Notamacropus eugenii: one gene and its partners. The protein of the gene in region 1 interacts with the protein of each later gene in a pairwise test. Links are inferred from orthologs where the notes say so. Each region holds a gene or a part of one and is shown on either strand. Other genes may lie near its edges. The genes, in order: VPS52, USP2, DDX6 and TSTD2.

Region 1 (7,491 bases):
GAGGACTGAAGCTGCTCCCTAAAGTCACCAGTGATCTATTACTTGCCAAATCTAATGGCATCTTCTCAGTCTTTATCCTATTTGCCTCTCTATCACAATTGCTATTACTTGACATGACCACCCTGTCCTTCTAAACATTCTCTCCCTTCTTGGTTTTTGTGACTCCCTCTTTTCACTCTCCACCTACCTACTTGACTTCTTCTTTACTAGATCATCATTCATGTCATTTCTTTTGTCTGTATACCCCAAGGATTTGTCCTGGGCCCTCTTCTCTCCCAGGTCTGTCTATTAATAACCAAATGCACTCCCATGAGTTCAGTTACCATCTCTATATATTCATCCCTGTCTGGCCTCTCTCCTGAGCACCAGTCCTTCATCACAAACTGTCTACTAGACATATCTAATTGAATATCCTTCAGGCATATGGAACTCAACATATGCAAAACAGAACTCATCTTTTCCTCCAAGCTCACCGCTCTTTCAAACTTTACTTTTATGATCAAAGGTACCTCCCAGTCACCATCATTTCATTGAGCATGACTGCTCATTCTCCCTCACCCTACATATTTAATTGGTTTCCAGATCTTCCAGTTTCTATCTCCCTAGTATCTCTCAGATCAAGCCCTTTCCCCTACTACAGCCGTCACATTAGTTCAAGCCCTCATCTCCTCTTGTCTATACTATTGCCACTGCCTCCTATTTAGTCTCCCTGACTCAACTCAGCTCTCTTCCCCAATACAAACCATTTTCTATATAGCCCCCAAAGTAACTTTCCTAAAGCACAATGAGTGAAAAAGGACTTCCTAAGCACTTATACATGCAAAGCAATGGAGATAAAAAAATAGAAAAGCAAGACAATCCTTACTCCATGTATTCTAATAGAAAGATATAACATATGTAAGAGATTCCAGCTGCAAGTTAGATGAAAAAACCCATAGTCCTTAGGGTATAGGAACAAGGCAACTGGTAAACCACCTAGTAAATTTCTATTTATTTATTTATATTTACATATTTTTGTATGTAAGTATATTTATACAAAATATAAAAAATAAAATGTAGAATAAAAACTTCAAAAATAAATAATAAAATGTATGATAAATGTATTTTTTAAGCTATATTTGTTTATTTAATAGGCTCCAATGGCTCCATCCCTATTACCTCCAAGAACAAATGTAAACTTCTCTATCTAGCATTTAAAACTCTTTGCAACCTGGTCCCTTCTTACCTTTCCAGCCTTAGTATATAATACTCCCCTCCACGAATTCCAGGTTCCAAGCATACTAGTCTGATTGCTAGTCTTCACACAAGACATCCGATCTCCCAACTGTGTGTCGTCTCTTCCTCCATACCTGGAATGCCTACCCTCCTCACTTCTGGTTTCCTTCAAAACTCAGTTCAAGTGCTACTTTCTACATGAAGCCTTTTCTGATCCCTCCAGTTACTAGTGCAAACCTCCCTAAAGTAACTTATGTTCTGTATGTAAATGCTGTATCTATCCCTGTCCTCTCACTAAGTGTAAGCTCCTTGAAGGCAGGGACTAATCCATGTTTGTCTTTGTATTAAAGAGTTTAGCAGAGTTCTTAGCATATTATAGGCACTAAATCCTGGTTCATTCGTTGTGTCATGGACCTTAGAAATGGTTATCAGTGTTTCTCTGCCAATTGAGATTGCATAGAATATTGGGAATCACATGAAAAATTGGTTTACTAACCTCAAGGACAGCATCACAGGCTGTGATCTGGTTATGTAGTGATGCAATGTTCTCACTTTCTTGGATATCTGAGCCATGGGCAGTTAAGAGAATTCACAGAAAGGACAGAGACCCCCAAATCTTTGAAGAACCCTCACATGCCAACCACCCACCTTCTCATGTGTCACATCTGGGATGAGAGGAGACAATTCTGGCCATACCTTCCACCTCACCCCTCAAGTCAGTGACAGAAACTCCCATCTTTTTCCCATGAGGATACAATCTCGGATAGATTTCTGTTCTATCTGCTGTAGCTCCAGTTCCACCTGCTTTGAATAATGACGGAGATCCACACCCTGGGAGAACCAGAAATAAGACAATTTTAGTGGAAAGAAATCACTGAGCTTAATGCTCTGCAGGGTGTAGGCAGGGATTACGATGAGAGAAAAATATCAGGGGATTTCGGTATGGAAGTCTTTGGGAAACATTACTGAGTGTGAAATGGAAAAACAGAGGACAAGGGACAGAGGATGTTGTAGGGAGTCTCACCGTTTTAAGAGCCTCCTTTACCAAATCATCTTCTAGATTTGCCTGAATGTGAACTAGACCCAGAGAGAAGTCATGAGGATCCAGGCATACAGTTCTTTCCCTCCCAGGAGCCCTCCCTGCAAGAACTCAGGCATCTGCCCCGCCGCAACTTCCAGCCCGTCCTCACTTTGGAAACTCAAAATCCAGGGTCGGTCCCGGTCCGCCCGCCCCGGTTCCTAGCATCTAATCATCCCTCACCATCCACTTCATCCAGGATGAACTCCTCAGACGTGATATCCAGCTCTCCCAGCTGCAGTGGCTCCTGGAGCCCGGGGCCGCTCCCCTGGAGACAGAGCAGTTAGTAGACGAGCTGGGGATGGAACGACGTGGGGGATGGGGGACATCTCCCCCACCAAAGCCCACCCTTTGTGGAAAAAATGCCTGTATGCGAGGCTGACGGGTACGACAGCACACGCTTCCCATACTGAGGCGGCGGCGGCGGCCCCGCGCTCGGACCTGGGGCTCCGGGAGGTGAGTGACAGCCCGGGCTCCTCACCTCCCGGGCTCCGCGCAGCCGCACAAGCCCCGCCCCACCCCCACCCCGCACTCCCAGCCTCGCGGGGGGAGCGCAGACGCGGGCCCCTCACCAGGGCATTCTCGTCCTCGTCCATGTCCGAGGCGCCGGCCGGCTGCATCAGCTCCGGGGCTGCCATTCCTGCCGCCGCTGCCCCGCCCCCTCGGCCACTTCCGTCAGGTGGCTGTCGGAACAGGTCGGTCTACGCCGCGGGTGGGGTACACGCAAGAGAGGCGCAGGAATGACGCCGTGGCCCAAAGGCGTGCGCGTGAAAATCATCCCGCCAATCCCCGAGCTCGTTTGCCGGAGTCCTCTCTACTGGAGACCGGCGTGCGCACACTGCCTGCTCGGGACCGTGTCTTCGGCGAGCCTTCGTTTCCAGAACGGACGGGACTTAAAGGAGCACAACGGAAACAACGCCATAAGAATTAGCCTTCGGAACGCCCCCGCCCGGAAGTGACGTCCATGCAAACGAGTCAGATCAGGAAGTGCCTGGCCTTTTCGAAGCCTTCCCTTCTCTCTTTCGCCCTTCCCCCTCCTCCCCGCCTTCGCGGGCCACTATATAAGGCGAATACGTAACTTCCGTTTCCTCTTCCAGAGAAGGCTCTCACGCCGCCGTTGCAGCCATGGTAAGACTGGCTCCCCACCCGGGTCTAGGGATCCGGCGACATCGGGGTCGGGGGTTTGCGGACCGAACCGGGGACCCTCCGAGGGCGACCCGGCCCAGAGGGCTGCGGTTTGCCGGCGAGATTGCTGGGCAGGCCCGCGCGGTTGGGTCAGGGCGCAGGGTCTCCGGCGTGGAACCGGCTCCTGGGTGCTTGGATAGGAGGGACGGAGAATGGCGCTGGGGGAGGCGGGTGTCGCCCGGGCTCCCCTAGCTCTCGGCGGGGCTGGCCCCCTGGCGAAGGCCGGGAGTCTCGCCGCCTTTACCGTGGCTTTTCGCCTTCCTGGGGAGCTTCCAGCGTCATGCCCAGGCATGAGCGTCCCCCTGGGTTCCCTGCGCCTGAGGGTGGGCGACCTGCCCCCGTGTGTGTGTTTAAGGGGCAGAGGGAAGGGTCTGCCACTGTAACTGAACGGGTGACTCGGGGCGCGGGGCGCACCGGGACTGACTGGTGTTCACCGCGTTGTTCCTCCCTGCTGTCTCGATCCCTAGTCTCTTGTAATCCCCGAGAAGTTCCAGCACATTTTGAGAGTGCTCAACACCAACATTGACGGACGGCGGAAAATAGCTTTTGCCATCACAGCCATCAAGGTAAGGGCCAGAGTCACGGACGTGTGGATCGGGAAGGTCGGGCGAGAAAGGGACTGTTGAGAGACATTGAAGAAGAATCTTCTCCAAGGTTGGGGCAAAAGGAGCAGCCTTCCCCATAAACGATAAGGGTGCTACTTGATGAAGTAAGACGTAAGAAACGCAAAAGTGGTTGTTGTACACCGAGTGGTACGTATCGGTGTAAACACTCGTTCTTTTAGGAGTTGGACTTGTGCTTCACCCCTCCTTACTTGCCCTCTTAAAGTCTGTGAATCTGTGTACTTGTAGCATGTGGTACTAGCGCGGTGCTAGGCACGGCAGACTGGTATGGTGTGAGAAGTGCTGGGTTCAGGTGCCCTTATGCTGTGGACAGGTTAGGAAAGTTGTCTTAAGTCTAGGTTTCCGCATCTGTACAATGAAGGGGTTGATGAGTGATATTTGAAGTCGTTTCCAACTCTAACAGTATAGTCTGTGTCAGTTCCAGCCTTCACTAAAGCTTGAGACGCAGTTGGGAAGACAAATAGGAGACGTTTGCTTAGAAAAGTGCAAGAGTGTATAAGTAGCCTAAACTACTGATTATTTTAACCATCTAGCTTGGATTTTTTTCTTCGGGCATTTCGTCATGTGGCCTATTTTACTAGGCTTTTCCCTTCAGGGCTACAGTGATCTTTCTCCTGAAATTCCAAGTATAATTTTTTGTATACACGCTTGTTGAACGTAATTAGTAAGTGATAAGTGTTCCAGCTGTGCTTTTTTTTGTACTCGGCAGAGGCAGGGTTTGAAACTAGACCTTGGGTGAAGGATAAGACAAAAAATAGAAGCAGCAATCATTGTTCTACTAAAAAAGCCCTAAGTTGGGGTGAAACCAGAGAGTCAAGCTTCTTGTTCTCCACATGTCCTAGGCAGAAATCCCATTCTTCCCCAAATCCAAACTTCCCTGTTTCTGTTTAGGAAGGCCTTCAAATTAAGGCAGTATATGAGAAGCAAAAAGTAAACAAGAGGGGGAGGGGTGGTCAATTTTAGACTGGGGCAGGCAGTCAAGAGAATAGGGCTGAGGGAATTGAGGGGGAGGTTAGTAAACATTTATTAAGTTCCTGTTATGTTTCAGGAAGCGCACTAAGTGCTGGGGGTACAAAGAAAGGTAAAAGACAATCTCCATCCACACATAATGGGAAAGACCACCTTCTGGAGAAGTCTACAAACAAGCTATGTCTAGGATAAAGTGGAAATTAGCAACAGAAGGAAGATAGTAGAATTGAGAGGAATGGAAAGATTTCCTGTGGAAGATAGGTATATGACTGGTACTTCAAGGAAGTCAAGAGCCTCAGCCTTTCAAAATCTGGATCCCTCCTTTCACATAATTTAAAGGATAGTGATAACTTGACTACATGTTCCTCAGGTTTGCATTACCTTTTCTGCCTTTATATAGGTTGTTCCTTAACCTTGGACTGTGCTCCCCCAATTATTGTATATTTATGGAGAACATCTTGCAGTAGATGCACACTTCAGGATGGCACCTGGTCTCCTTCCTCTTTCCCAGCTAGTCAGATAAATAGTAGACACTTGATGTTGACTAAACTGAACATGTTGGGGCTGGAAAAGGTTTTTCAGAGGTTCAAATCTAGTGTGGGCAGGGACCTTAGGTCAGTTAGTCCAAGAGTTCTTAGTGATGGAGGGGGTGTTATTTTCACTAACCTCTTAACAGTAGTTTTAACATTTCCTTCCGTTGTAAAATTAGGCAACAAACCATGGTATTTATAGATAACTCAGTATGTCATTTTGGCTTATCCACTACTTTGAAATTACTGTAGTTGTACTATTTTAATTAACTTCTAATATGTAGTTTCCTTTATGAATTTGTTTTATGCATATTTAAAGATATTCTGACAGGAGGTTTATAGGTTTTACCACACTGCCAAAAGTGAAAGGGAGTGTCCATGACACAAAAAAGATTAAGACACTGAACTAGTCTAGTCTGAACCCCTTATTTTACAAATAAGGAAAATGTGACTCAGAGAAGTTGTGACTTGCCATGGTCAGATAAATAGTCATGCATCAGAAGTAGAAGTAGATTTTAAATTCATTTCCTGAGACTCTGGAGCCAGGACGTTCTCACTGTACCAAAATGGGAAGAGGGCTTGCCAAAGCAGTTTTCTTCAAGTTTTTTTAACTGTCATAGAAAAGAAATCAGAACTAAAAGTAATAAATGCTTTTAGGTTTGATATAAGAAAAAAACTACATATTAGAACTAGCCAAAAGCATAATGGGCTGACTGGAGGTGTTAAGATGGAAGACCTTTGGATTAGATGTGATAAAGAGAAATCACAAGGGACTTACTAAAGCTGAACTGTTTATATTCCTACATGGAAAGATAATATTTGTAACTCTTGAAACTTTTCTCAGTATCTTGGTAGTTGGAGGGACTATATACACACAGAGCACAGGGTGAGTTGAATAGGAAGGGATCATATCTAAAAAAAAAAACTAAGGGATGAGAGAGGAATAGATTGGGAGGAGAAAGGGAGAAATGGAATGGGGCAAATTATCTCTCATAGAAGAGGCAAGAAAAAGGATTGGATGTGAATAGTGGGAGTCTGGAGACGTGACTTAGGTATGAGCTTTTTTACAAAACAGCTTTGGACCATGAGGGCATAGTGTGTTCTATAGCAGTTAGTTGTTTTTCAATTGTGTCTGACTCCTCCATGACCCCTTTCGGGGTTTTCTTGGCCAGGATGCTGGAATTGTTTGCCATTTCCTTTCCAGCTCATTTTACAGTTGATGAGACAGACAAATAAGGTTACCTGACTTAACCAGCTAGTGTAAGTGGGTTTGAATTCAAGTCTTCCTGACTCCAGATCCTACTTCTGCCACCTAGCTACTCATTTATAGCAGTAGTGTCAACTCCAGAAAGAAACAAGGATCTACTAAAACATACAGAATGTTCCCTGGGGACCACATAATGAATTAGAAAAACATTTTCCAACTACATTTTCATTTGGGGCATTCTGGCTGCAGGGAGATGGTGTTAAAGGCCTAGTATGTGACACCTCTGCTTTACAGTATATAGACATTTCACATTAAAATGAGATTGGAGGAGTTACATATGAAAAACAGCAATTATAGGTAGTGTTTAGGGTTTATACAAGTTTGATTGGGGGAAGGTACAGTCTGCAACTAAGCCAGTAAACTGGAATGGGTAGAGAAAAAAACCATTCAAGTGGTGAGGATTCAGAAATTGGATATCCTGAGTTTGCTGTTGAAGGAGATCAGTGTATTTTGCCTTGGGAAGATGACTGAGAGGAAATAAGGGTCATAGCTTTAAAGTACTTGAAAGGCTATAAAAATGGGGTAACTAAGTGTCACTCACAATGGATAGAGTGCTGAGCTTGCAGTTAGGAAGATTCATTTTCATGGGTTCAAACCTAGCCTTAGACACTTAACTCTGTGACC
Region 2 (7,847 bases), on another chromosome or scaffold:
AGTTACTTAATACAAAGTCCAAATAGATGGACTTCAACCTTTTTTTAAGACAAACTCCTAAAGTAGGTTACATTACAGAAGATGAACTACAGCTTTATACAAACAAAACAATATTTTCCTTCAGTATAAAACAGAAAATAAATAAATTCCCCTTGTAAATAAGCCTTATATAAATTCTTAAGTACTCCTTAATCATTAGTGTTATATACCCGAATTATGTACCAGATGTCCTAATTAGGTCTTTCTCAGATACATACATCTCCCAAGACTAAATTATTTTACACTAAAATTGTTTATTAAAAATATTTATTTCAAAGTTTATATTCCTTCTCATAGGACACAATATTCTTACTACTTAATATATGTGGAAAGGAATATTAATGAGTGCCCAACAAGTTGGTATCAACTTTACTGTCTGTCCAAGATTTTTGTTTGTAATCAGTTTAAGTCTGCGTATAAAACTTACAAAATTATGTACTTGACATTAAATGCCAACTTTTTAAAAATAAATAAAAGAGAAATAAATCCAGTATCTCTGCAAGGAAACCTCAAATGGGGGTCATGAAGAGTAGGCCATGACTCAACAACAACACAGCTAAGGATAGGAGATATAGTCTTAACCAAACAAGAGTTAGAGGCAATTACAAAAGATAAAACAGACAAGTTTGATTACCTGAAACTGAAAAACTCTGTTCAGACAGCATTAATGCATCTCAATAAGAAGGGAAGTGATCAGTAGGGAAAACTTTGTATCAAATTTCTCTGATAAAGGTTTGTATCCAAAACATATAAAATATTATCTACACGTACAATACATACATATATACATATATGTATATATGTATATATATACATATATGTGTGAATGACTAATAGCTTGTTCCCAAATAGATAAATGGTCAGAGGATATGAACAAATTTCAAAAGAACCACCAAGTATTCACAACCATATGAAAAAGTATATCAGATCACTAATAGAGAAATGCACATCAAAATAACCATGAGGTTTCACTTCAAAACAAATTTACCAATTTGCAAAAAATGACTTTTTTAACAATGTCAATAGTCAGTGTTGGAGACCTTATGGAAAGGCAGGCATGCTAATATTTTATTGGTGGAGCTGTGAAATGGTACAACCATTTTGGAAAGAAAGTTGGAATCATGCAAACAAAGTGACTAAAATGTCCATACCCTTGGAACCAGAGACTCCATTACATGGTTTATATCATAAATAAGTTATCAACAAGAAAAAAAGTCCCTATATGTGCCAAAATATTTATGGCAACATTTTTTTTTGTAATAACTAAGAATTGGAAACAAAGTAGATGCCCATCAACTGGAGAATGGCTAAACAAATTGTGGTTCATGAATGTAATGAAATACATGTAGTTGTTCTTCAGTTGTTTTAGTTGTATCCAACTCTTCATGACCCCATTTTGGACAAAGATACTGGAGTGGTTTGCCATTTTCTTCTCCAATTCATTTTACCCATAAGGAAACAGGGGCAGCCAGGGTTGAGTGACTTGCCCAGGGTCATAGTAAGTGTCTGAGGCCATATTTGAACTCATGAAGACTCTTCCTGACTTCAGGCCCAGCATTCTATCCACTGAGCCACCTAGTTGCACATAATAGAATACTATGGTGCTGTGAGAAATGATATGTGTGTGAGGAATACAGAGAAGCATGGAAAGATCTATATGAACTGATCCAGAGTGAAGTAAGCAGAGCCAAGAAAACCACAAACACATTAACTACAATAATGTAAATGGAAAGAATAAAATCAAAAGTAAAAATGAACAAAATTATGAAGTCCAAATAGAACTTGAATGAAAAGATATGAGAAAATAGTCCCAAACCATCCACAGGTGTTACAAACTGCATTATTTTTAAGACTTTTTCAAGTACCAATCAACTGTGCTGAGTTTTACCCCTCTCTCTAAAAAATACTATTAACAAGTATGCTGAGTTTTTCCCCTCTCTCTAAAATATACCATTAATTATATAAAATAGCTCATAGGGAAGGGAAGGGGAGGAATACGTGGAATTCTGTGGTGATTGAAAAAAATAAAATAAGAATAAAAATTTATTTTAAAAATATTTTTTAAGAAGATCGGAACTCTAACTCTGTTTCCTTTCATTATACCATGTGGCCCCAACCCTGAATCAGAATTAATTTTTCCTCCCTCCTACCAAGAGATATGCTTGTAAAAGTTTAACAACTATCACGCCAGGAAAAAAAAAATGTACATACAATACACTTTTAAATTTAATCTACATTAACATTTTCTTTATCACTTCTTTACTATAAAATTAATAAAACAATAAATCAAGCCTTAATTTGTAGGGTTTGCTGCTTTTCGAGGTGTAAATGCTCACATTGAAAATTTAATAATCTGTTCTCTAGAGCTGGTGGGAGATGACTCCAGCACACCCCTGCCTCCCATCCAGAAGTTCCCATTTTGTATTCTCTAATAATAGCTGTCATTCAAAGATCAATTGAAAAAATTAAATATTTAGTATGGAAATGGCAAGACTTAAAACAGGAATGATCACTAGTTTCAATTATTTAAAAGGCTGTCATAGGGAAAGAGAAAGTATACTAACTGCAGAGGGTAGAACTTACAGATATGTGTGGAAATTATAGAGAGACAAATTTGAGCCCACCTTTTTTTGGGAAGAAGCTTCCAACAATTAGAGCAGACCAAGCATAGATAACATGGCTCAAGATAGTGAACTCCCTGGCATTTGAAGTATTCAAGAAAAACCAGAGAGGTCAATTACCTCTCCCACATTCCTTACAGGGAATTCCTATGGTTGGTCTGGAAATTGAAATGATGACCTAGAATTTAAGATTCTAGTCCATGAGTCAAGGATTTATTAAGTGTGTCCAGCACTGTGCTAAGAATTCTAGGATTCTATCTACCCTGGGTGACTTGTAACTTAATCCACTCAGTTCTCCAATGCTGTCCTAGTTGATACATCAGCCAGTAGGGAAGCACATGGTCCATTTTACCTGTTGAGACTTATAACCCAAATCATTCTTCACATTCCGTTGGATTTTTTCTCCCATCCACCGCTCTTCTTGCAACGAATCCTACAATACCACTGCATATAGAACTATACTCCCTCCTACTTCTTGTTTTGGGATCAATAATCAAATCTGCACTCTCCAACCATCTCATGGACCCATAACTAGCTTGAGATACAACTTCTATCCTGGTGGGGGGAGGGATTAAAGGGAGGGAGGTCAAAGGTCCTAATTAATAGCTCTACCATTTTTTCTAGAAATCCCCAACTGTATTTCACTTCATTCCTTACTGTCTAGACAGTTTCTCCATAACTTCCCCAACTGCCTAGCTGCCTCATACCATTTTTCCTTCTCACTCTCTCCAGTGCTGAAAGCACAAATCATGATTAAATCAGTTCTATCATTTGTTCCTGCAAGAGTATATGGCCCCATTCAAGATGCCTGTAATTAAAATGTTCCTCCCTGCCCACCACTCTGCTGTATATTTGCTCTCGCCTTTTAGAATGTAAGCCTGGCATTTTGCAGGAGACATCTGGTCCATCCCAGCCTGCCTACTCAATGATCCTTTAAACTGTCCTTTTACAGTGACTCTCCAACCCAGATTTTATCTGCACCTGGCCCACCCCAGGCATTCACCACTCCTTAATTGATCCATATCTTCTCACTGTCTTTTCTCATATACAAGTAACAATCTTACCCTCACTACTACATTGCTCAGACTCACTTAGAATCTAGCTGGCTTCTATTGGCCTCACAAATAAACCTTGCTACTTAGAATGAAAGAAGGATTGAGTGGTCAAATTCTTTCAAGGCAGACCCCCTGAATCCTTCATTTCCAGGTTCCCAGCAAGCCAAACCACATCATAATGTGTCAAGGCAAGCCAATTGATTCTTCTATTGGTTCCACATTCCTATGTCCTCTCAAACTAAAAAATCCTTCCTGGAACACCATTAACATATTTGCTATCCCCCCTAATTAGAATATAAGCTCCTGGAGGACAGAGACTGTCTTACTTTGCATTTTGTTCCCAAAACGCTAACACCAAGCAAGCCCATAATGATTCTTTCATTCAAAGCCGTTAGAAAATGCTGAATGAATGATGAAAACATAAATATCCAAATTCCTGGTTTCTGCCCCAGTCTTTTCCCATACAACTCCTGTTAACTGAGCTCCTCTCACAGACTCCCTGCCTCATTTTTCTGAGCACTCTCAAATGAACCCATTTCTATTACCCCGGTGGGGAGCAGTTTGGAGCCTTTCAGAAGCGAGAAGTGGAGGGCCGAGCTGAAGGGGAATGAGAGATCTTCCGACTGAGTGGAAAGTAACAGCGAAGGTTGTTGGGAGGCTGATGTATTTATTGCTAATGAGATGAATGACCTGAATCCATTCCAGGAAGCTTAGAGCTAGTCGGGTGGATGCTGATTGGACCACTGAACGCGAGGTTGGTTGCTGTAGCAATCTGCACCCGGGAGAATATTGGTCAAAAACTCAGATTTCACGGTTGCTCCCCCCCAAATAATTTGCAGAACGGGAGGGTTGGACTACATGGTCTTTAAGTTCATTTCTGACTCTAAATCATAACTCCTATGGATCCTCTTGCTCCTACACCTTTGCAACACTCTCTTCCTTTTCCTCCAGTCTCCACCCCCTTTCGCCCCGCGTGCTTCTCTTCCACGTGGCTCTGTTTACATCAGTTGCCTGGGAAACTCAGGCTGGGAGGAGCTCCATCAAGTCACAATAGTAAAGAGCCAATGGGTGCTCCACGTCTCAGTGACGCAAGGACGCACAGGGCGTGGCTAGGCCGTCCTGGAATGCCGTATGGCGATTCCCCGCTGGGTGGCGCTGTTCTCCCGGGGAGGTCTTCATTGGGGCCCCTGGCGGAGGTGGGGAGAGGCGGGCAGGAGCCGGGGCCAAGGAGCCCTCTGCGTCAGCTGTTGCTCACTGCGCCGCGCCAGTGTCAGGCGGGACTTACCCGCAGCTCCATGCCTGTTTTCGGCTTGGCACATCCACCCTTAGAGAACCAGGTAGGTGCCACCTGTTCGGGATTGGGGCAGAGGGAGGATAAGGAGCGACCTCCGCTGGGGCAATGCCCGGGGTGCCCCCGGAGCCAGAGCGGACCCCGGGGACGTGGGGGTGGGCACCCTGCGGGGCCAGGGCTCAGGCTCGGACACTCGTGGGGGGAGTGTCCGCCGTGCCAAGGCCGGCTCCTGCTCTGGGTACCAGCCCGGAGTACTGCTGCTTTGCCGTGCCCGGAACCAGGCTGCCCTGGGTGGCGTGTGCCTGGGTATATTTCGGAGGAGCGGGACGTGTGGTGTGTTGTAGCCTATTGTGACAAGAAGGTTGTGTGCCGCTCATTTACTGCCCCCCTGGAGGGTTTTCTGGGGGGGAGGGGGAGGGGAGGAGGAGGCGAGAGAAGAGAGGAGAGAGAGAAGAGACAGACAGACAGACGAGCTAGTGTGGTCTGACTGTCAGCCGGGGGAAGGCAGCAGTTCAGTAGTGGAGGAGAACTGCTGCCAATCTCAGACCGGAGGAGGTATCTTTATAACCGCCCCCTCCCCCCCCATCATCTAAAGCAGCAACTTAAACTTTACGTTAATAGTTATTCACGTTTTTATAGTGCTTTAAGGTTTGTGCTTTCCCATATTACTCTTCCCCACCTCGAATAGGACTGAGCATCCCCACTTCCACCTTGCTTTAGGTTTAAGGATGAGAGAGCTGGATCTCACTGGTACAGAGCTGAGACTGAGGATGGGGAGAAAAACTAGGAAACGACCCATTGCCTAGATTATACTGAGGCTTACAGAGTTGTGGGAGACCAAGGAAAGCTTGGAGAGGGATCAGGTGATTGGAAGTGCTGAAACTCAGCCCCTTTGATGCTGTAGACTCATGCCCCCTTGGGGTCAGGGAATGAGGACTGGAATGAGGACCTGAGTGCATCATCAGGACCCAGTGCTGAGTCAGTGGCATCAACTGGGACAGGGTGGAGACAGGTGCCTTGAGACACCTACACAAAGGTGGGCTACGACAAGGACTGTGAAACTCTTGGAGAGCAAGATGAAAAAAAAGGCCTAGAAAGGTGAGAAATGCCATTTTTTCCCCTCTATATCTAGTATAAAGGCAGAGCCCTATGAAATGGATCCATCAAGAGTAGGACTCAGTTGGGTATTTGCCTAGGCACCAGTGGGACCTTGTACTTTTCTCACTTTTTTAAGCCTAAAGGAAACAGCAGTGGTCTGAAACGCCTGGACAAACACTTGATGTCTCCTTGACTAAGGCATCCTGGGAATTTGTTCAGCCTACTTTGTATACCACAATGGTGGTGGGACCAATCCTGCCCTGGTTATGAGAGCCAAGGGATTTATACGTAGACATATAAAAGAAAGCTTTGGAGTTGCTTTTTAACTTTAGAAGCAAGCATGGCACTTAGGGTTGACAGACAGGACTCTTTTTTTTTTCTACCTAGAAACATGTAACCTCCAGATAATTTCAGTCCTATGCTTCCTTTCACCCCAAGCTACAACCAGTGCACTCTGCCACCTTTTCTCTTTCCCTTTCTTTTCATTGAATCCCTTTTTGTGCTGCTTCTTACTGTATCCTTCCCTGAGTTCTTTTAAAGTCACCCTTCTGTCTAGTACCTACTCATTAGGGACAGTACCCTCCCCCACCTTAGGTGGGCATAACACTGCCCCTTTAAGTCTCTCTGGATCCTGGAATGTGAGTGAATTGCTGTAGCCATCCCTCTGAGGTCAGATAAGATACTATATATATCAGAGCCAGTAACCTGAGCTCCGGATTACCCAGCCTGGAGTCGGGCTTCACTCCTCCACCTTCCACTCCATCCCATGCCCCGCTGGGGAAGGAGAGGCCCCCAGAGTCCCGATCAATCCTTTTCCCCTGGACACAGGTCAGTGACTGCCCCCACTATGCATCTAAACATACATAGGTGCTGCTGCCTGGTGCCTGCCCTTCTAGTAGGTCTGGGGGAGTTGGGGCAGGGAGGGGGTGGTGGGTATAGATGACAGATGATTATCTTATCTATCCAGCCAGGTCTAGTGCTGTGAACCAGGCCAAGACCTTAGGAGATGGAGAGCAAAGGAGATACAAGATCTGGCCAAGGAATGGAAAGAACCGGCTACGCAATAGACTTAGGGGACCTCTTCCTAAGGGTTTTCCATATTGCCTAAAATGTCCAGAACACTATTGTATGTTCATGGTAGTAGTGAAGCAAGTTTGGGAGCATTGAGGCAATGATTTGGGAGCACTAGCACCATTTTTGCTTTCTCTGGAAAATATAAAGATATGCTTCCCAACTAAGACACTACCGTGGACCCACATATGTACCTTCTTTTTCAATTATTCATTGTTAAAGCTTTAATCTGATCTCTGGGTCCTACTTCCTTACCTTCCCCACCAGGCTCCTAAGAAACTTGTAGGAAACATTAAGGGGGTTTCATTTTTCTGACTGATTGCCACCACCCCTAAAGGAGTCAGAGTTTGTTAATCATATGAGGGATAATGTGCTCACCCCTGATAGATATGCTTGCTAAAAGAAGGCTGAGAACAGGCTCAGGTTAGGGGAGGAGGTCTGAGAATAAACAGAGCCCTTGACCAATGAAAATATCAACTATACCATCCCCCCTCTCCTCTCTACCTGTGCTCCTTTTTCTGTCAGAACACCCCCAGATCTGATCTGCCTTGGACTGGCACTCATGCCTTAGTGCTTTCCTGCTTTCCCCAAAGAGATGAGCACAGTAGTTTGGGCCCCTTTCTTGCCCCCCACCCCACCTACCTTCCATAGAAGGCACTTTAGTCTGACCAC
Region 3 (7,776 bases), on another chromosome or scaffold:
TTAAACTGTAGGCTTCTGCTTGGAAACTGGCCAGAGGACTTAAAGGCTACCTGAATCGTTTAAATTTTAATTCGAGCAAGCTCTGCATTCTAAAAGTGCCGTGTCCAAGTTCACACCGCACACAGCGCAGCAAACAAAAAGCGCGCAAGGAAGGGCCCGACTTCCTTTCTACAAAAACACCAGACGGTGGTTCTGCGAAATACTACGCGTGCCAGCCTTGAAAACGTCGGGAAAAAGAAGCCGGACTGTTCACCCAGACCACGCTGCCTTCCCCCACTAAGATGAGCCATGCGCCCTTTTAGAAAACTCGGTAAGCCACGCTCGGTCCGCCAACAAACACCGAGGCTCATGCAGACAAAAGCAGCGTGTAAGAAAACCAAGACGACTTGGACGGAAACTTCTCAGGAAGACGTTCCCTGACTCTAAAACTCATCTCCTGAAGAAAAGGCTGGGTGGCCTTTACCGAACACCGGTCTGCTCCTAAGAAGGCCAGAATTCTGCTAAAACAAACCCTCCCGCGGCCCTGCGGACGGCCGCTCACTTCGGAGGCTTCCTGTTGTGACAGGTTTACACTGCGAGCATCAACACCGCCAGCACCCTCACCCGAGGAGCCTGGGAGGATGACTGAACGCCAGCGAAGCGCCGGGCATGACAAGGGCGCCCGGTCCGGCTCGGTAACGCCGCCGTTCCGCTCCCGCTCGCCCAGCCGGCCGATGGGGACCCCACTTCTAACGGGGAGAGAAGCTGCACGGCCGCTTCACAAGAGCAATAACATCCCCCCCTTCTCCTCAGCAGACCAAGTTCCGTCTCCAAGTTCCATGGCTGCATGTTCAGAAATTACACCGGAGCGCAGAGAGGAAGGCTGAGTTAGCGGCAGCGCTTCCTGCACGAGCTCGCCAATGACAGCTCCGCACCCCAAAACTCCTCGGCCCCGCCGGCTTTTGTTGCCACGGCGGCGCAGCTTCCCTTTAGGGTTAGCCCAGGAGGAGCCTTGGGGTGGGGGCTTTCATTCTGAGGGAGGTGGGTCTGGAAGGACGGAGAAGAGAACGAAGCGGGGGACAAGTCGAAGGGAGAAGTGCACGACGACTTCGGGGGACACCCCCGCCCGTGCGCCGCTCATTTCTCGGTTATTTTCCATCCCGAGCCGCTTCCTTCGGCCTTAAAAACAAAGAGGCTGGGGCCCTGCAATGGGATCTGCGCAACGCTGGCGGAGCAGCCGCGGCCCCGCCAGCTCAGCCAGCGGGAAACAATGGGGATTCCCCCTCCCCCTCGGGGCCCGAAGACTCACCCCCTTCCCCCTCAACCTACGGAGGGCATTCCAGCACCCCGACTGTCCACGCGCGGGGGGAGGGTGGAGAGGGGACTGTCCACGGGGAGCCGCAGTATGCCCCCCCCGCCGCCCCAGTAGGGGGACGCCACGTCCCCCGGCCCTGCGGCCCCCACATCCCCCAGTCCCTATAAAGCTGTCACTGGCGCGGGCCCGCTCCTCGCCCTGTTCGGTTCCCGGTCCCAGGCCCCCCTCGGCCCTCGCCTTCGGATTCTACCCCTCGCAGCCCCCGCCGCTTCCTAGGCTGCCCCCGAGGCCCCGACCGGGCCTCGGGCCTCCGCCCCGGAGCGCCCCCTCCCCTGACAGGCCCGGCCCGCTTCCCGCAGCCCCCGCGCCTCGGCAGCGGCCGAGCTCGGCGCCTCACCCCACTGGCCGCGGCTGGGGCCTGTGTCACGGCGCCGAGGCCGCCGCCGCCAGGGTCCCCGGCTCCTTTATTGTTGACTCGAAGCTCCCAAGATGGCGGCGGTTCCTTCCTCCCCGAAACCCTCCGCCCGCCCGCCCCCCGGCCCAGCCCTCCCCGGCCCGGCCGGGCCGGCCCAGTCCAGCCCCAGGGCCACCGGAGCCCCCTCAGCAGCTTCCCCTCGGGCCTCCACGCCGCGCTCCGCCCCGGCGCGCCCGCCAGCCAGCCCGCCCGGCGTCCCGGCTGCGCCCGGCCTACCTCCGCCGCTCCCCGCTCTCATGGCGCCGCCGAAGCCGCCGACCGGGCCGAGCCAACTCCGCCGCCGCGCCCCCTCCCTCGCTGCCGCCCTCCCTCTTTCCCTGCCTCCCCGCATGGCGGCGGCCGCGGCTCCTCCTCCCCTCAAGATGGCGAGAGCTCGGGCCGAGCCCCGGGCCGGGGCCGCCTCCTGCGCCGCCGCCGCCGCCCCCGCCGCCGCCCCATCTACCGGGGGCCCGAGTCTTCGCTGAGGAGAAAACGGGGGGCAAGCGCCCCCACCTCGGCAGGGCCGGGGGGTCGGGCCGGCGGCAGCGACAGCAGGGGCTCCGGGACGTGGGGCTGCCGGGCGGGCACGGCGGGCTCGGGGCCCCTCTCTGAGGGGCGTCAGGGGGGATGGGGCGCGCCCTCAAAAAGGGGCCCAGAGGCAGGCAGGGCGGGGGCGCGAGGGCCCGCCCGGCCCCCTCCCCAGGCGGGGGGCGCGGGCTAGGGGCTCGGGGCTGAGAATTGGGGCGACCACCGACCTGATGCTTCCCGGTGGCGGGGCCGCCTGCTTGTGGCCGGAGGGAGGCACCCCCGCTCCTGGGCGGCCGAGCTGCTGCCCTCCCTGCTTCCAGCGCGGAGGTGCCCGCTCCCCATCCCCCACCCGCGCACCCCGGGGCGGCTGAGCGGCCTGTGAGGCGGGCGGGCGAAGCGAGGGGGCGCGTCCTGCGGGCAGGACGGGGAGCCTCGGCGGCGGGGCGGGCGAGCGTCCGGCGGGTAGTGCCAGGAAAAAAAATCTCGCCTTCCGGTGGTGCCCGCCGCCAGGATAAGAGTAAACAAGAGAAGCTCCCCCGTAACCCTCCCAGCCCCCAGACGGGGAGACTGAGCTCGCTGCTCGGCGCCCCTCTTTCGGGGGACCCCCGTCTGAGGGGGAAAGAGTCTAACCTCGGTAGTGCCGAGCTGGGATTCGAACCGGGGTCTTCCGGGAGCCCCGGCGGCAATGATACCTAATGTACACATGCCTCTCTCCAGGCAGGTAGCTCTGCTGCCAGGCATTGTGAGCGCTGACGGGACGAAGGAGGGGGGTCGGTGCCCTCTGTGAGAACAAGGAGGTGAGTTTGTGGCAGGACCCCCATGGCTTCGGCTCACCTTTGCAGCGGGGCAGCATGGAGAGCCTGTCCAAACCTTTTCTTCAATTATTTATTTCAATGAGGAAAAATCTATTTCCCCCCCAACCACCTCCCCACCTCCCATGGGATGATCCATAATAAGTTAGTAAGTTTTACAGCTGGGAGGGGATTTAGAGGCGGTCCAAATCTTTCTTTTTTTAAAAAATTAATTTTTCTCAATTAAAAAAATAGTATTCCCCTCCCCCCTCACAACCCTACCCGCCACTGTGAGGGGGAGAGGAAAGAAGGAAAACCCTGGTAACCAGCATAATGAAGGAAAACAAATTGTCCAGTAAATCATGTTTCGTTCTACATACTCTCCTTCATCTCTCTAACTCCGTTAGATTGTGAAGTCCTTGGAAGGAGAAACAGTCTTTTGTCTTTCCTTGTATCTCCAGGGCTTGGTCGGGTGCTTAGTAGGCGCTTAATAAATGCTTATTGTCTGTTGTGGCCATCCCCAAAGAAAGAGATTCATGTAGGTCTCTATCCAGTGACCTCAACTCCTCTTCATGTTTCATGGAAAAATGGAGAACAGGCTTTGGTTGCAATGTTCAGAGGTGAAAATGAGGGTCTAGAAAGTCAAGAAAACAAAGCTTTAACCTTGGGTTTCAGCAGAAGGAGAGGGAGGATACGAAGGTTGAAAAAGGTATGTTGACAATGAATGTAATTCTTCTTCAGCTCTCCCATTCAGATTTAGTATTTCATTTTTAATATATTTTTATCAGTCTTTTGTTTTTATCTCACCTAGATTTCGCTCCTGTATCTCAACACTCTTCCTCCCAGATAGAGATCCCTTATAACAAAGATTTTTTAAGAGGAAAAAATTCAGCAAAATTACCCAATAAGTGGGAAAAATATTTGATATTTTATGCAATCTTCCAAACACAAGGGGCCCCCATTAGTACAAAGGAATAGAAGGAGATGTTTTCTCATCTTTTTTCTTTGAGTCAAGCTTGTTTTAAAATTTTTCAGCATTTATTTTCAATTATTTTGTGGTTATTCATTTATTAATATTGTTGTAGTCATGGTATATGTGATCTTCCTGGTCTTCACTTTGTATCAGTTTGTGGATATCTTTCTGTGCTTCTCCGTCTTCATCCTACTTCTCATCTCTTAGAGCAGAGTATTTCCATTACATTTATGTACCACAGTTTGTTTAGTCATCCACCAATCTATCTATGGCAGGTTTTAATAGAACCTCAATACCCCAGAGGCAGCAGTTCTTTAGCCCCTTATCTAGACAGCTCAGCCAACTTAGAACTCAGCTGTGGACCATTTGTAGGCCTCCTTTAGTTCTTATCTGTTCCTGGGTGCAAAGTTAGTTGCTAGTAGACCTTGCTAGATTCTTAGGTGGTTTTCGTCTAGTGCCAAGAAAGATTACTTACAAAGATAGTATATCTTGGTCCAGGGGGCGTCTTTGCATTAGTCAATGGTCAAAGTATAAAAACATTGTGTTTGGAAAGGTGTGCCATCTTGCCTTTTTCACTAGAGGATTTTAAAATTCTTTTCTCTCATTCAACTGGTATTTTTTTCCTTTCTATTTATTTATGTTCATTTATTTTTAGTTTTAAACATTCATTTCCACAAAATTTTGAGTTCCAAATTTTCTCCCCATCTTTCTCCTCTACCCACCCCAAAATGCCATGCATTCTGATTACCTGCTCCCTCAATATTCCCTCCCTTCTGTCACACCTCTCCCTTCCTTTATGCTCATCTTCTCTCTTTTCTTGTAGGGCAAGACAGATTTCTGTACCCCATTACAAGCATTTCTTATTTCCCAGTTGTATGCAAAAACAGTTCTCAACATTTATTCCTAAAACTTTGAGCTCCAACTTCTCTCCCTTCCTCCCTCCCCACTCATCCCCACTGAGAAGGCAAGCAATTCAATATAGATTACATATGTGTAGTTTTGCAAATGACTTCCATAATAGTCATGTTGTGTAATATTAACTATATTTCCCCTATCCTTTCCTGTGCCCCATTTATTCTATTCTCTCTTTTGATGTTGTCCTTCCCCTAAAGTGATTACTTCTAATTACTCCCTCCTCCCATTTGCCCTCCCTTCTATCATCTCCCCACCCCACTTATCCCCTTCTCCCCTACTTTCCTGTAATATAAGATAGATTTGCATACCAAATTGAGTGAGTGTGTTATTCCTTCCTTAAGCCAAATAGGATGAGAGTAAGCTTCATTTTTCTCTCTCACCTCCTCCTTTTTCTCCATTGAAAAAGCTTTTTCTTGCCTTTTTTGTGAGAGATAATTTGCCCCATTCCATTTCTCCCTTTCTCCTCGCAACATATACCTCTCACCCCTTTATTTTTTTTGGTTTCATCCCTTCTTATTCAACTCACCCTGTGCTGTGTGTGTGTGTGTGTGTGTGTGTGTGTGTGTGTGTGTGTGTACTCCCTGCAACTATCCAAATACTGAGAAAAATTTCAAGAGTTGCAAATATTATCTTTCCATGTAGGAATGTAAACAGTTCAACTTTAGAAAGTCCCTTATGATTGCTCTTTCCTGTTTACCTTTTCATGCTTCTCTTGATTCTTGTGTTTGAAAGTCAGATTTTCTCTTCAGTTCTGGTCTTTTCATCAATAATGCTTGGAAGTCCTCTGTTTCTTTGAAAGACCATTTTTTCCCTTGAAGTATTATACTCAGTTTTGCTGGGTAGGTGATTCTTGGTCTTAATCCTAGTTCCTTTGACTTCTGGAATATCATATTCCAAGCCCTTTGATCCCTTAATGTAGAAGCTGCTAGATCTTGTGTTATCCTGATTGTATTTATACAATACTCAAATTGTTTCTTTCTAGCTTCTTGCAATATTTTCTCCTTGACCTGGGAACTCTGGAATTTGGCTACCATATTCCTAGGAGTTTTTCTTTTCAGATCTCTTTCAGAAGGTGATTGGTGGATTCTTTCAATATTTATTTTGCCCTCTGGTTCTAGAATATCAACAATTTTTATTGATAATTTCATGAAAGATGATATCTAGGTTCTTCTTTTGGTCATGCCTTTCAGGTAGTCCCATAATTTTTGAATTGTCTCTCCTAGATCTATTTTCCAGGTCAGTTGTTTTTCCAGTGAGATTTTTCACATTATCTTCTATTTTTTCATTCTTTTGGTTTTGTTTTGTAATTTCTTGGTTTCTCATAAAGTCATTAGCTTCCATCTTCTCCATTCTAATTTTTAAAGAACTATTTCCTTTAGTGAACTTTTGAACCTCCTTTTCCATTTGGCTAATTCTGCTTTTTAAAGCATTCTTCTCCTCATTGGCTTTTTGGACCTCTTTTACCAATTGAGTTAGCCTATTTTTAAAGGTGTTATTTTCTTCAGCATTTTTTTGGGTCTCCTTTAGCAAGGTGTTGACTTGCTTTTCATGATTTTCTTGCACTGCTCTCATTTCTCTTCCCAATTTTTCCTCCATCTTTCTTACTTGATTTTCAAAATTCTGTTTGAGCTCTTCCATGGCCTGAGACCATTGCATATTTATTTTGGCTGTTTTGGATGCAGAAACCTTGACTTCTAGGTCTTCCTCTGATGGTATGCATTGTTCTTCCTCATCCGAAAGGAAGGAAGAAAATACCTGTTCAACAAGAAAGTAGCTTTCTATAGTCGTATTCTTTTTCCCCTTTTTTAGTCATTTTCCCAGCCAGTTACTTGACTTTTGAGTCTTTTGTCAAGAGGAAGGTATACTCTGGGGACCTATAAGTTCTCACTTTCTCCAAAGTAGCACAATCAAGGGAGGAATTTTACTCCTGTCCTGGCCTGTGCTCTGGTCTGGGAGCAACCACAAGTACTCTGTTCTATCCAGGATCTTCAGCAGGGTTCCCTCTCCAGAGCCACCCCCACCTCCATTGCCAGCACTCTTCTGCAACCCAGGAGAGCCACTCAGGGCTTAGATCCACATTAGCCACTCAATTCCCTCAGGGTCTTTAAGCAGATAGCTCTAAAATGGATGCTGTTGCTGCAGTGGCTGCTGCTGGCAGGTCCAGACCATGTTCCCTTTTCACTCAGGTGAAAGAGCTTTCTCACTGACCTTTGAAGCTGTCTTTGGCGTTAGTGGATTGAGCAGTCTGGGAACTGCTGCTTCCAGTGGTGCCCTGAAGCCTGTAGCAGTCCTGTCCTATGCTGGGCTGCAATCTGCTGCACTCCCTGTGCAATAGACCTTTCCTCTCGGCCTTCCAGACTGTCTTGGGCTGGAAATCTCTTTCACTCTGTCATTTTGTGGCTTCTGCTGCTCTAGAATTTGTTTAGAGTCATTTTTTACAAGTATTTTATGGGCTATGTGGGGGAGCTTCTACAGGTCCGTCTTTCTACTCTGCCATCTTGTCAACAAGTATTTTTAAAGTTCTTTTATATCTTTTGATTTTACTTTACCTTCATTTCCCAATGTATCCCTCTCCCTTCCCCTGCCTTTCTTAAGGGAACAATCACTTATAATAACTAATAAAAAAGAAATAGGAAAGGGCAGGAGAGAAATCTGTTGAGTAAAGTTAATGAAATGGAATATTATCGTACCATGAAATATGAAAACGAAGAATACAGAGAAGCATATGAAGACTTATTATGCAGACTAATACATAGTAAACAAAACCAGGAAGCAATATTCACTATAACTGCAAAACTATAAATGGGAAGAAGAACAAAGA
Region 4 (7,060 bases), on another chromosome or scaffold:
GGCCTTACAAGTTGAGGCAGAAAGAAGTATCAATAAACTATCTTAAGAGCAATGGTAGAGATGATACATTTTAAGAACACTAGGGAAGTTGTGGTAGCTCCCAAAGCTGTAACTTGTATAATAAACAGTGTTACAATGTAAAGGTTGTCTATGGAAGAATCCTACTAAATACATCTTGCAACGATTCTTAAAAACTTCATCATGAGTCAAGATTTACTAAGATATAAATAAAAATTTATGAGAAAATTGGAAAACAAAAGTTTCAAGAGAAGAGAAAGATGCCTTTGATTGTGTAAGGCTTTAACAAAACTAATCATCTTTTTCAAATTATGCTCTCCCTCACACTAACTGAATGGACTCTAGTCTCTAGTCTTCATAAAGTTAAGCTATAAAGTCAAAAAACATTTAACTCAAGGTGGATGAAATCTATTTAGTATTAATTAGGCAGAAATTAGGAGTATGAGCCAAGTATTTTCTAAATATGTTTCTGTTTTTTTCTATGAACTTCAGTCATTCATCTCTCCCCACATTTCCCGAACTTTTTTCATTCTGCTTATGACAGCCTGTCCCTTAATCCCAATCTATATCTATCTGAGACACAGTGCATGCAAAGGCAAAAGTGGGACAATCTCTCTCTTTAAGAATCAACTGAGGTATCACCCTCTTCATGAAGAGTTCCCTGATCCCCCCAGATGAAACTGTTCTGTTCCTCCTCAATTTTTCCTAGAGTATTTTGAATTCATCTTTCCTTTATTCCTATTATGCTCTACCTTGTATTATCTGTATCTATATAAACAATATCTTTTCCTCCAGCAGAAAAAGTTCATTTAAGACAGGGGCTATGTCATTTTTCAACCATGTATCCCCAGTTAAGGGCAGTTTCCTACACTTAGTAGGCACTTGAAATGTTTTTTTTAAATTAAAATGAGAATGATTTACAATATATATTTGCTATGTTAAGTGATGATAGGTTTATAGTTGTATATTTCCATTTAAGACATATTTTTTTCATGTTCACATCTCTGTGGGAATCTCCTTTTTTTAAAAAAAAGTGGTAGTGAAAAGTATCAACTTGAAAAAGGTGTAAAAAACTAAAGTTCCCTCCAGAGACAAAAATAGGGATTACTCTTATGCCAATGTAATTTAATTACTGTGCATGTTACATATTTTTTAAAAACCACATATTTAGTGTATTTAATTACTTGTAAAAGACATGAAATATACTTCAGTGGATAAATATACTTAGCAGACAGTTTCAATCAATTGTAGCCAGAAAAATCATCATTGGAGTGCTCAACCTGAGTGACTCCTCATTTACCTATGCTTGTCCTCATCTCTGGGACTACATTCAAAATCTTTCCAGTTTGACAGGGTACGATAAAGCCTGGCATCCACTGACACAACTTTTGAAAATCCAAGGAGATGGACTTTAGCAAAATACAGATTTGCAGATCACCTCTAAATTTGCTCATTCTGACAAGATCTCTAGTTCAAATGAATAAAAAATGTTACCTAAGTTCATTGTCAACCTCTCTGATAAAGAGAACAATCACATATTTATTTCAGAGCACTACAGAGGAAAGGTATGGCAAAAAAGATTTTAAACTGTTGGAGATCAGATGATCATACTTCATCTTTCTACTTCTAGGCATCTAGCACAACAGTTAGCACCAATCAAATCCAGATCTAAGATTTCATCCCTGCAGGGAGATTCCAATAGCAAAAATTCTCTCCTTGAACCAAAACTAACAGGTAATTATTTCAGCTACTTTAAAAGTCTTAGAAGGTTGCCTGGCACAACTTACCCAGAGTCACAAAACCAATACCAGTCACACACAGGATTTGAACTCAGGTCTTCCCAGACTCTGAGACCAGATCTTTATCCTGGAGGTGTGGTAAGAAACAACCCTTAATAAATATTCAGATTCACAGGCACAGCCACCTAACTTTACATAGTAAGATGAACTGCCAAATGTGACAAAGGTATTAAGCAGCAGATTTAACCCAGGTTGTCTGGATCCGAAGCTATTAGCTCTTTCACCTGAACCAAAACAAATGAAATGTAAAACACTAGTCCCTTCCAGAATCATATTGCATTTCAAAATGCATATTTTAAAATAAATCTTAGTTGTTAGATTAATACTATTACTGTTGTTACAGTCACATAGAACATTTTCTGAGATTTTTACATTTTTATGAGAAACTTCTGATACCTGCCTAGTTATGTTACTGCAGCTTCAACAAGTCTCCATAATATGTATTTCCCTGAACATGAATTTGGAATCCTGCTCTGAAGAATCACTCAGGGTCTTGTCCTTTCCCTCTAGAGACTACCAATAAAGTTACAGAATTCTGTTTAAAGAGCGCAGCTATGATAGGTGTCACACGGTGAACCTGTTGCCCATCCTTTCTAAGTGTCCACAAGAGAACGCCCCTGAAGACAGACAGCTCTGTCCACAGCAGGGGCTCTTAAAGCCAGTCAGTAATGCTGTTGTCCTTTTAAATCCTTCGATAACCACATTTTCAGATCACTGGTTTCCTCGGAAATCCTCCTTCATGCACTCAAAGACGTTATCTGAAAAAAGGTCCACAGGCCCCGAAGGAGCCCACGACGCGCACGAGAAGGTGAAGAACCTTCATCTAATGAGTGATGCCAGTTTCATATTTTTTGGTTAATGCTCGAAATAAGAACAAGACGTGGGTGAAAGTCAAACAGGCCCCTCCTGCTCCATCTCCTGATGCGGACCGAGGTCCTGGCTCGGGCAGCCAGTGCTGGGAGGTGACGGGGCGTGAACCCCGGGGGGTCTCGGATAGATCTGCGTTTATCAATAATGGCTAACGTTAGCACAAGACTTTACTACTTACAAAGGCTTTACGTATATTCGCCCTTGATCTTCACAACAATGCTGAGTACATCCTAAGTTATCACGCCCACTTACAGACGGGGACACTGAGGCCCCAGCGGCCCTACGTCACGGCTGGGAGCGGCGGAGGCCGCGCTGGAAGCCGGGGCTCCCGGACCAGAGGCCTGCAGCGGGATCCCGGGAGCGGGCCGGCTCCGCAGCCCCGCGCCCGGCCCGACCTCCCGGCCGCCCGCCCGGCCCGGGCCGCCGCCGCCCGCTCACTTACCGTCGTTCTCGTCGCTGTGCCGCCGCCGCGACATCCTGCCCGCCGCGCGCCCCTCCGCCTCCGCGGCCGCCGGAGATCGCGGGAAACCCGCGCCTTTCGCTTCACGGCAGCGGGAAAGGGCGGAAGCGGCGAGGGGAGGGGGTGGCGAGGCGGCGCGGGGAGCTGCGGGCCGGCCTGCGGCGCTGACGCACACGCACGCTAGAGCTCGCGCGAGCGAGGCGGGCGTGGAGGCTGGGGGAGGGGAAAGAGGGCACCTCCCGTCTCCACCGTCCCGAGGACGTCCCGTCAGGGTCTCGGGAGGCCGGGCGGGAGGCGTCGCGTGTGAGGGAGCCTGAAGCGGGAGAGCCCAAGGGAGCGGCCCAACAAGGCCGCGGAGCGAACTTCCGCCGCCTTCTCTCTCCCCTCCCCTCCTCCCGCTCCTCGCGCTTAATCTTCTTCCGGGAGAACAGGGAGCGGGGAGAGCCAGTTCCTAGAGCGTCGGTCCCGGCTGGGCAGGCGCGCGTCTTAGGGAAAGGGCGGGGGGAAGGGAGGAGGAAGGAGTCTCGGCCAGACGCTAGGCCGCGCGGAGCCGAGGTGGTGACGCTCTGGGCCTTCTGTGCCACTCGATGGTTCTCCCGACTGCCCTTGCGCCTGCCGGACGTAGGCGACGTCTGGGCTGAGGGGCCGTCTGTAAAGTACCGGTCGGGAGGAGAAACGTGCCCGCGAAGGGCTCTCGGGGGACTGCGTGTTCCGGTGGTTGCTAGGATAGACGGGCCCGCGGGTGGAAGCCCCCCAAAGACGGGAGCCGGCCAGGTAGGTACTTCCTGCGACCTCCCGGGTGTTCTGTTGACGCTTCGGACCCCTCCCCTCCCCCCGGGTCAGTGCGCGTGGCACGGGGGCCCCCGGGGGGGTGGGCCGGCAGTCCTACCCCTGAGAGCCATAACTGACGTTGATGGCCGGCCTGGAGACCGGCAGGCCTCGTTAAGGCCTTCCTCTCTAAGGTGGGGGTTGTTCAGTTCTGTTTTACGGAGGGGGAAACTGAGGCAACTCTGAAGAACTGAAAACGAGTGTGAACAAAAGAGGAATGGAAAGTCACACGGTGTGTGCACAGGACGGTGAGCCTGGAACACCGGGGTGAAGAGAAGACACTGGCAGCCCGAGGGCCCTCTGCTGGCACTCTCTGGCAGTCTGGAGGGGGGGAAGGCTGCAGGTAGTGGCTCAGAGGCTGGAGCGCCGGGCCAGAGCAGGTCACTCACCCGCTGGAGAAGCCCCGGGGGGCCATGGCCGAGCTGTCCTGCTGAGTGGCCAGCCCTCTTGGTGTGACGGCCTCCAGACCTGTGTGTCCGGCAGTCTGTCTGCCCTTCCTGCTGTCAGACTTCAGCTTCAGTGTAAGGCCTGCATCCCCCCTGTGTCACCGAGCTTCTGTGTTTGAAGTAAAGATGCCAAGGCCTGTGGGTGGCATGCACCTTCTTTTCTGGGTCTTCAGAAGAGGCAGGGTGGCAGCACCCACAGAGGCAGCTGTCCGGTCCGCTCCCCCCCTTGTGATGGTGGACTGGCCTAGAAGCCAAACTAACACCAGCTGGAGGTGGTACATGCCAGCTGTGCCAGAGGTCCTCAGGCCCAGGGTCCTGCGCTGCCTCTGCCAGGCTTGGAGGAGAGGTGGTTTTTGTGCCTTGGCTCTCCTTCTGGATTCGTTAAGTTACCCTTTCACTTGCCAGCTAGCGTAGAGGACCCTTCCCCCTTTTAGAGTCCGTGATTCTCCCCTTTCCCTCGCCCACCAGAGTCTGTGACCCATCTGGCTTTAGCCCGGGTCAGCCGAGCGAAGAACGAAGAATGGACTAAGAGCTGGTGGTGAACGATTCAACGGAACCACAGGCGGTGGAGTCTATGAATTAGGGAGGTTTCCTAGCCTCCTAGCTGAACCCAGTGCTGCCCATAGAATAAGAGTGTGTGAACAGGCTGACAGGAGGGCATGATTCTAAGCCCTGAGAAGCTCATCGACATCCTGAGGCCCAGGTGCTCGCTTCTCCAAAACAGGATAGTGATGAGGAGTAACTTCCTTTCAGTGTGTGTATAAATACGTGTCTTTATGTAAGTAGATTTTTTTTTCTGTAAAAGAAATAATATAGGGGGCGGAGCCAAGATGGCGAAGTAGAAAGACGCACATACACATAGCTCCGAACACACAAACCACAGAATGGCTAGAGGGGACCAAGCCAGGGCGAATTCTGCACCCAGAGACCACAGAGTATTGGAGCGAGGGAGATTCCTGCTCCGGAGAGACCTGCGGACCTCTCGCGGGGGGGGTCCTTCACGCCGCGGACTGGGCTCTGGGACGAGGACCAGAGTATGGCCCTGCCGCGGCCACGACACTGAGGGGAGGAGATCCGAGAGGGCTACGGGGATGGGATCTCCAGCGGCCACGCGGGTCCCCACAGAGGGACCTGCAAACCTCTCGCAAAAGGTCCGTTGCACTGCAGATGCAGAGCCCAGCCCGGACCTGCGGCGGCGGCATCGGCGGCCACGGCTCCAAGACGCACAGATCTGAGAGGGCTCCAGAGGCGGGATCTTCAGCGGCGGCACGGGCCCCCCCCCACCAACAGGTGACTGAAGGGGGTGGGTGAGAGAGTCTCGTTGGCGGGTTGAGAGGGGAGTGGGGTGCCCCCAAGGCTCGGCCCCCCCCCCGGGAGGTGGGGGCTGAGAGGCAGCTGCGGACGGGGGCTCCCCAAATGGGCAGGAGCCTGGATCCATTGTGGAAGGTCTGTGCATAAACCCCCAGAGGGAACTATGCCTGAGAGGCGGCCCTGCCCCTGACCACCTGAACTTAATTCTCACACTGAATAGCAGCCCTGCCCCCGCCAAAAATCCTAAGGCGGGAAGCAGCATTTGAATCTCAGTCCCCAAACGCTGGCTGGGAGGACCAGGAGGCAAGGTGGGTGTGAGGAGAACATTCAGAGGTCAGGCCACTGGTTGGAGAAAATGCCAAGAAAAGGGAAAAGAAATAAAACTATTGAAGGGTACTTTATCAGAGAAAAGACACTTCCTCCCTTCCTTTCTGATGGGGAGGAACAATGCTTGCCATCAGGCAAAGACACAGAAATCAAGGATTCTGTGTCCCAGCCCACCCAATGGGCTCGGGCCATGGAAGAGCTCAAGAGGAATTTTGAAAATCAAGTTAGAGAGGTGGAGGAAAGACTGGGAAGGGAAATGAGAGGGATGAGGGAGAAGCATGAAAAGCAGATCAGCTGCCTGCTAAAGGAGAACCAAAAAAATCTTGAAGAAATTGGCACCTTGAGAACTAGCCTAACTCAGCTGGCAAGGGAGGTGCAAAGGGCCAACGAGGAGAAGAATGCTTTCAAAAGCAGAATTAACCAAATGGAAAAGGAGATTCAAAAGCTCACTGAAGAAAATAGATCTTTCAAAACTGGAATGGTACGGATGGACGCTAAGGACTTTTCGAGAAAGACAGATATCTCAGAACATACCGCGCAGATTCGAAAAATGGAAGATAATGTGAAATATCTTATTGGAAAAACAACTGACCTGGAAAATAGAATCAGGAGAGACAATGTAAAAATTCTGGGACTACCTGAAAACCATGATCAAAAGAAGAGCCTAGACATCATCTTCCATGAAATTATCAAGGAAAACTGCCCTGAGATTCTAGAACCAGAAGGCAAAATAAATATTCAAGGAATCCGCAGAACACCGCATGAAAGAGATCCAAAAAGAGAAACTCCTAGGAGCATTGTGGCCAAACTCCAGAATTCCCAGGTGAAAGAGAAAATATTGCAAGCAGCTAGAAAGAAACAATTCAAGTATTGTGGAAATACAATCAGGATAGCACAAGATCTGGCACCCTCTACATTGAGGGATAGAAGGGAATGGAATAGGATATTCCAGAAGTCAAAGGAACTAGGACTGAAGCCAAGAATCACCTACCCAGCAAAAC

What was found.
Region 2: the proteins of VPS52 (region 1) and USP2 interact in binary tests that used the Homo sapiens proteins (3 or more experiments, as listed by UniProt). The two-hybrid records come from large-scale screens. The link is inferred for Notamacropus eugenii from reciprocal best matches to the Homo sapiens genes VPS52 and USP2.
Region 3: the proteins of VPS52 (region 1) and DDX6 interact in binary tests that used the Homo sapiens proteins (3 or more experiments, as listed by UniProt). The two-hybrid records come from large-scale screens. The link is inferred for Notamacropus eugenii from reciprocal best matches to the Homo sapiens genes VPS52 and DDX6.
Region 4: the proteins of VPS52 (region 1) and TSTD2 interact in binary tests that used the Homo sapiens proteins (3 or more experiments, as listed by UniProt). The two-hybrid records come from large-scale screens. The link is inferred for Notamacropus eugenii from reciprocal best matches to the Homo sapiens genes VPS52 and TSTD2.

Annotation. Positions count from the first base shown.
Region 1 is NC_092873.1:89,290,939-89,298,429, forward strand, and holds the start of VPS52 (vacuolar protein sorting-associated protein 52 homolog), read right to left. Parts: upstream 3,003-7,491; 5' UTR 2,932-3,002; coding exon 2,866-2,931; intron 2,562-2,865; coding exon 2,477-2,561; intron 2,293-2,476; coding exon 2,240-2,292; intron 2,047-2,239; coding exon 1,971-2,046; intron 1,780-1,970; coding exon 1,712-1,779; intron 1-1,711. Other genes in the region: RPS18 (small ribosomal subunit protein uS13), read left to right, coding at 3,419-3,421, 3,946-4,044. UniProt on the Homo sapiens protein: Acts as a component of the GARP complex that is involved in retrograde transport from early and late endosomes to the trans-Golgi network (TGN).
Region 2 is NC_092876.1:279,333,984-279,341,830, forward strand, and holds the start of USP2 (ubiquitin carboxyl-terminal hydrolase 2), read left to right. Parts: upstream 1-4,839; 5' UTR 4,840-5,052; intron 5,053-5,910; exon of another isoform or gene 5,911-6,104; intron 6,105-7,847. UniProt on the Homo sapiens protein: Hydrolase that deubiquitinates polyubiquitinated target proteins such as MDM2, MDM4 and CCND1. Isoform 1 and isoform 4 possess both ubiquitin-specific peptidase and isopeptidase activities.
Region 3 is NC_092876.1:280,062,922-280,070,697, reverse strand, and holds the start of DDX6 (probable ATP-dependent RNA helicase DDX6), read right to left. Parts: upstream 3,015-7,776; 5' UTR 2,907-3,014; intron 2,758-2,906; exon of another isoform or gene 2,504-2,757; intron 2,070-2,503; exon of another isoform or gene 1,986-2,069; intron 1,814-1,985; exon of another isoform or gene 1,692-1,813; intron 1-1,691.
Region 4 is NC_092874.1:314,403,496-314,410,555, forward strand, and holds the start of TSTD2 (thiosulfate sulfurtransferase/rhodanese-like domain-containing protein 2), read left to right. Parts: upstream 1-4,047; 5' UTR 4,048-4,192; coding exon 4,193-4,207; exon of another isoform or gene 4,208-4,223; intron 4,224-5,122; exon of another isoform or gene 5,123-5,199; intron 5,200-7,060. Other genes in the region: NCBP1 (nuclear cap-binding protein subunit 1), read right to left, coding at 3,130-3,163.